2 linked regions of the Bombyx mori genome follow. The protein of the gene in region 1 interacts with the protein of each later gene in a pairwise test. Links are inferred from orthologs where the notes say so. Each region holds a gene or a part of one and is shown on either strand. Other genes may lie near its edges. The genes, in order: axin and glycogen synthase kinase-3 beta.

The links.
Region 2: the proteins of axin (region 1) and glycogen synthase kinase-3 beta interact in a two-hybrid assay, tested with the Drosophila melanogaster proteins (2 studies listed by BioGRID, with this or other methods). The link is inferred for Bombyx mori from reciprocal best matches to the Drosophila melanogaster genes Axn and sgg.

Annotation. Positions count from the first base shown.
Region 1 is NC_085123.1:13,487,561-13,491,160, reverse strand, and holds the start of axin, read right to left. Parts: upstream 2,190-3,600; 5' UTR 1,923-2,189; intron 1-1,922.
Region 2 is NC_085124.1:8,496,682-8,500,414, reverse strand, and holds part of glycogen synthase kinase-3 beta, read left to right. Parts: coding exon 1-181; intron 182-938; coding exon 939-1,036; intron 1,037-1,147; coding exon 1,148-1,243; intron 1,244-3,598; coding exon 3,599-3,733.

The sequences.
Region 1 (3,600 bases):
TTGCATTTTTTGAGATTTTTACACTATAAATTTATTTCACTAGTCTGCTTTAAACGACTTAACTTAATAAATGAAAATCATACAAGGCCTATGCACATTTTATATTAATTATTTTTTTCATAGAATCTTGTAGACAGTTAAGATTATGACTTAGAAATCACAACATCTAAAATAATCTAATTTCGATACAAAATTATAAATGTAGAAATATTAGTCCAAATATTAATTATAAGAGAGCTTCCTGTGTCCGTGTACAAAAACAGCGTAGAATCGATACATTTTTAGTCCATGAAACTTCAAAAAGGCGGTTACGTCGTTTAGCGCCGCGACGCCGGTATTAGCGCACTGTCGCATCTTCAGAGGGCGGCGAGATCAAAGGATAGGTACACAGTAACCGCTCTCATTGATGTCGCTCACAAAGGGAATTGATTGTTGCAAACCTCGTTTTTTTACAAAAAGAAGAGAGGGATTGATGACACATCTGCTTTTTTTTTTTCTTTTTTGACATTGTATCATGTATTATGTACTGTATTAATAATATATTTGCGTTTTCTTATTTGTAATTTTAATGTTGGTGACGGCATGTTATGAAATTCTATACACAGTTTACAAGATTGCAAAGGTAATAAGTTTCGTGTTAATTATTTCCTCAAATTAGATTTTATTTTCATATAAATTAAGTGACGATATAATATATTCTGATTGTCTAAGATATTTTATTTACCCAATTTCATTTTGAATAAATTATTATGATTCCAGCTTTTTAATGCTGAGACACTGCATATACAATTTTCTTAATATCTTTTTACTATGAAATATTAATGATGAGACAATCCACCGGCTTAGGCCCCAGCTGGAGTTCCTACTAAAAAAAACATTTTTAAGCAAGTTTGCATTATTCTAAAAAAGGTTTTTATTTGTTTTTTTTTTCATAAACTTGTATACGTTTATATCATTACATTATGTCATCTCATCATCATATTTTTATACATAATTATTCCATCTATCATCGGTTATGAAGTCACTGGGAGCAATATGTCAATAATTATACTTCACTTAGGTTTGTACACATATCAGACTTTTCTTCGGGGAATGTTAAAAATGAATAAAATAATGGTGAATGCCTATTGTTTTTCAAGCCATACAAAAAAGTACTGGCTGTAGAAATAGTTTTAACACATGTTCATAAGAATATTCTAGTTTAAATTACTGGCTACTACTACTAGACCACATACTAATTAACTAAAAATGTTTTTCGTGACAATTCAGGTATCTTTAAGTAATTGAAAATTTATTCCATAGCTTTACAGTAAAAGTCATATATATAATTTTTTGCTTCATTATATAATTATTTTGAGAATGAAAAACCAGTGGTGATTTATTTATATATTTTGAATTTTATTGCTATCTATCAGGCATATTATCAATTGTAGCATTAATTACCTACTTACAAATTAGTGTAAACAAATAAACTTTCGATTTATAGATTCTCTCAATATCACTCAACAGTTATCTCTGTAAAAGTAATTGAAAGAACTTCGTAATTCATGATTTAATTTTTAATTTTACCGATCCGTACCTACTCAAAACAATATTAGGTCACTAGGTGAGTAGGTGACTCAAAAGTTTTAAATAGTTCACAAACTTTTTGAAAGTACAAAAAAGGTGAAGTTTTTTTTTAAATATATATTGAATATCTAGCCCGTAACATAACTGGTTGTATAAACGTTCAACACAGCGGTAGACGACACAAACCTAACCTTAACGCAAATTATTTATAACTATTACCTGCTCATTGTTGTTAATGTAACGTTTTTATTATTTCGGGCTAATTACGGGGTTTAAGATAACTAAAATGTACACCAGCATCGTGAGTGTTAATTTTAGAAGGCGTATTCTTGAAATAAGCATCAATTTCTTACCTCGTTGACACCTGAATTCCGAAGTATTCCGAGAGTTCGTTACAACTTCACACACAAAACTTTTAATTTTGAAATAATAGTTCAAGCACTTAATAACAAAACGACACCGAGAACAGCTTTATTGTAAGTCTTTCAACTTATAAACTGACAAAAAACAACACTTTCGTATAGAAAACAGAAACTTATTCACGTTCTTGACGTCGCCTTCGCCATGGTGTTGATGCACAATAGCGTAACCTAGCGGGACATTGGTCAACTAATGAACGCTTTGATGTGTCATTCCGTCACACGCATAATAACATAATTATCAACATACCTACCAATATTGTGAAATAAAAAATATTTTGGATTTTTGTCAATTATATTATATTTAATGTATTTGTATATCGGTAGAGTATACTATAATATACTAATACTAATAAGCTTATTTAAAAAAAAAACACTAAATCAAAGACGCCCTCTTGCGCCCTGAACTGCTAAACAAAAATTTGGCGGGAACGCGAAAAGCGAAGTTCTGTAAGTCAAAAATCATTGTGTAAGTCGTTTTATTTTTTTCAAACTGATTTAGAATTTCTCCAAGTTTAATAACGTTGGTTTATTAACTATTTAGCATCTGCGAAATCGCACCAATACGAGAAAATGAAACAAAGCTTCTGGAGGTAGCTCCTCGGGTTCTTCCAAAAGTTCCACTGAACCATTATGTAACACTATCCCAATTGATTAGACTCATTCCGTCTCAAATCGTTTTTCATGTAATACAACCATATTTGGATATAACATCACCTTGCAAACGACATCGGATTTATTCAGTATGATTCGATCTTTCCAGACTTACATTTCGGACAATTAATTATTTCACCAGTGTCATTCCCCTTTTATTTGAATACTCCTAAAGTGAGTTTTAATTGAAATACAGTTTAATTATGTACTATTATTATTTAGACAATCGAAAAACACAATTTGCGACATACCAAGGCGAACTTACTTTTTATTAATATCAAGATAAATTTTAAAGGAATAGACAGTAAAACTCGATTTAAAATTAAAGATTTATTCATATTAAATTTATTTCCACATATGCAGGTACAAAAACACGAAATCAAACACGCTAATCTAAAAACTACACAAAAATGACTAAAACAAATGACTTCATACTTATAACGCTATTTAAATCAACTAAAAGTTTACAAACAAATTGTAGAGAAATTGTGAGGTATTTCTTATTTATAAGGAACTTATACATAGCGAAGCAATAATATTGTAATGTTTTATAAATTAATAAAACCCTTATAAATTACGATTTTGACTCTGTAGTATTTTTAACTACATCAACACTTTTATTACAAACTGTGAATCGACTTTGTAAAAATATTCAAGTTTCAGAGGAAATATGTCAGATGCCTCTATGTTTGAATTGAATGTTTGAATTATGCACGAAAAATTGAAAATGCGAATCATCTTATAATTTAAAATTTGGATAATTAGAAAATTGTGAACACGGTTTTCTACGGCGAACAAATTTTTGAGTATCCAAAAGTGTAAAACCATAAAAAAAAAAATCCGAAATATATTGTGCCAAATTTATTGATATATGAACTTATGAATTGATAACTAAGAGAAACTTGAAAAAAAGCGTGAATTAATTAACTCAAAATTATAAAATATTTAGTCAACAATC
Region 2 (3,733 bases), on another chromosome or scaffold:
CACCGAGATATCAAGCCGCAGAACCTATTGCTTGACCCCAAGACTGGAGTGTTGAAGCTGTGCGACTTTGGCTCGGCGAAGCACCTCGTTCGCGGAGAACCAAACGTTTCCTACATATGTTCGCGTTATTACCGCGCTCCGGAGCTCATCTTTGGCGCCACCGACTACACCACGAAAATTGGTACGTTTCTTATATCTATTATATAACTAATTGGACCTACGAAGTCGTCGTGGCCTAAAAGATAAGACGTCCGGTGCATACGTGTTGAACGATGCACCGGTGTTCGAATCTCAGGCGGCTACCAATTTTTCTAATGAAATAGTGTACTCAACAAATGTTCACGATTGACTTCCACGGTGAAGGAATAACACCGTGTAATAAAAATCAAACCTGCAAAATTATAATTTGCGTAATTACGGGTGGTAGGACCTCTTGTGAGTCCGCACGGGTAGGTACCACCACCCTGCCTATTTCTGCTGTGAAGCAGTAATGCGTTTCAGTTTGAAGGGTGGGGCAGCTGTTGTAACTATACTTGAGACCTTAGAACTTGTATCTCAAAGTGGGTGGCGCATTTACGTTGTGGATGTCTATGGGCTCCAGTAACTACATAAAACCAGGTAGGCTGTGAGCTCGTCCACCCATCTAAGAAAAAAATAAAATAAAAAAGAGATCTCTACCTCGTATCTTAACACGGGTGGGAGCATTCATGTTTGTGATGGCGATGGATTGGTAATCGGATAAAACTAATCTGTTCATTTGTCCAAATAAAAAGTTAATATTTCAGTTGGAACAGATCTTATACACGCCGTTTTGGAAATTTTGTTGTTAATGCCTGACTGTAATGCAAAACCTCACAAAGAATATTAATTATATTTATATTCGCATTGCTATATTGCAATGGTTTTAATGTTTATAATTATGTGTTTCCGTTTCCTAGACGTGTGGAGCGCGGGATGCGTTGTCGCTGAGCTGTTGTTGGGTCAACCGATATTCCCAGGAGATTCCGGGGTTGACCAATTGGTTGAAATTATCAAGGTAATACAAGTGCAGTCCACAGTCATAATATCCAAATTGTTAAGCTCGATTCCTGTATTAGTATATTTTTTATTGTTTTAATTGATAATAAATTAAATTCTTTTTTAACAGGTTTTAGGGACACCGACAAGAGAACAAATCCGAGAGATGAATCCAAATTATACAGAATTTAAGTTTCCGCAAATCAAGAGTCACCCTTGGGCGAAGGTAATAACATACTCAAAATAATTATTAGAATATTATTAAGGTAAATACATCAATAAACTTAACAGTGGGATCACTTCGAGAGTATCAAACTAAAACAAAAATATTTTCAAAATCTGTCCATAGACAACAGAGTAAACCGTTAAGAGATAAATTTAAAAATCTATCAAATATAGAGATACCTTTTTTGAATTTTGTTAAATTATCTAAGACCTTTGTTATGAAAAGAGTCAGTTTTTATGAAATCGTAATTTGTTCTTCTTTGAAAATCCATACATAAAACATGAATTTCATCCTGGATACATTTATGATAAGCACATACATTGACTAGTCCTTAGTGTCGCCTTCATAAATATCCGTTATATCATGAATTTTGTTATCATAATCATAATTGTTAGGCTATCGTTATTGTATATTACATACACGATACATTACTACGGATTTAAAGAAAACTTTTCATTGAAACTTCGTGTTTTCATTAGGGAACGTATGCGACAGCCATATCTGATAATCGCACGGCATTTTCTATGCGTCGAGGACGTATCTCGCTGTATTCTGTGGCCTTAAAAAATTACAAGCAGAATATTTTCAGCACGTAGACATTACAACGCGAATGTTACATGAAGGAGACATGACGAATTATTACCGTACTAGAAAACTGTTATTATATCCTTGAAACACACTTAAGAAGTAGAGGAGAGTTAATTAGGAAGTTAAGGCGAAGATTCTACCACTACACATAGATGATGAGGAAACTGTTAGTGTCCAGTTAGGTGGTTAGAGCTATGTATCCGATTTTTTTCTCGAACATACGATCCTTCTACCGCGAACTTGTAGTTCTGATGCGGAATTTACATTACGAAATTAGTGTCATGGATGTTGAACTCAGTTTCACGAAAGTAGTTTCGATATAATATATGCGAAAGTAATTTCGTAAAAAAAATTGTGTCGCGAAATCCGCAGTATCGCAGTAATGGTTACCTCGCAATGGCGCCATCAGCATCATAGCTATATTTTGCTATATTAAATGTAGCTAAAGAAATGCTTATATATAAACTTAAAAAAAGACAATCAAGAAAAAAAGACATTGGTAAATTTGAGAACGGTTAACAATAAGGCATTTATTACGAAATGCATGCATGCATTACGAAAATGTTAAGCTACACGTGAAACTGTTGGTAAAACTAATGTCACGAAATTAATTTCATGCCACTAATTTCGTAACGTAAATTCGCCCTGAGTCCAGTTTTACGTCTCTGGACGAATTCTGAGTTACAAGTGTACGGAATATAAGTGCTAGGAATGTCTCTGTCCCCTCGTCTCTCATCTTGCTCGAGTGAGCTTAGACTTTATTGGGGTATATGCAAGCGGTGCTGCTATGGGCAGTCGATTAAACAGACGCGCATCGTTGCAGTGTATGCTGGAGCGTATGTCCATGCCCAAGACTGCCACTGACCACCAGCGCATCCGAGTAAGAATCCGCTATTTGGTTCAACTAGATGCCTTCATTTACATCACGTTAAACTTTAAATAAGCTTGCAAGCTGAAAGTATTGTAAAGCAAGACAATATATGAAGGCATTTAGCGCATCCAAAGACGAATACCAAATCGCCTTTGACTTGAAAGTCGCATACAACTAATTCGGTTGATTCTGACAATTTCTCAAAATGATTGTTTGTTGGTGTTCAGTGTGCATTCGTCATTGTGTCGCACACGTGTTTAGTTTGTTCAAGTATAAAAATTTTGGAATGTGGGACGACGCATTACAAACCTCTACGGTAATGTTATTTTCATGTTTTATCAAAAGAGCAAACTTGACACGTGGTTCAGCACAAAATAACAAAAATAAATAACTTCATCATCCACGCATTATAATCGCATTAACTAATTAATTTTGAAAGATACAGTTTGTTAAATTATATCGTCACTAATCGAACCCATCGAGCTCACCACAGTCGAAGTGTTAATTGTACTCACATCTCAACGATACATAAAAAACATCCAGATATACCCTTGAATCGATGAATTAATATACCAGTTAGATTAGCAAGAAGCTTCGATTTGATTCTTCTCTCTCGGTTCTCAATAAGAGAAAAGGAAGAAGATGTTCAGACAAAACATACCTTCAGAAATCTATTGAGTCCATATTAACATCTATTTGTGACGGTGTGAGTCGAGGTGACCACACCGCTAACAAATCGACTCTCCTAATTAAATAGCCTGTATACATTTTGGTACCTATCTTCAGAAATCTATTTGTGACGGTGTGAGTCAAGTGACCACACCGCTAACAAATCGACTCTCCCGATTAAATACCCTGTATACTTTTTGGTACAAATATATCATAAAATACGAAAGATGCCCGTGAACCGCCAGGTGTTCCGCGCGTGCACGCCCCCGGACGCCATCTCGCTGGTGTCGCGGCTGCTGGAGTACACGCCGGGCGCGCGCCTGTCGCCGCTGCAGGCCTGCGTGCACAGCTTCTTCGACGAG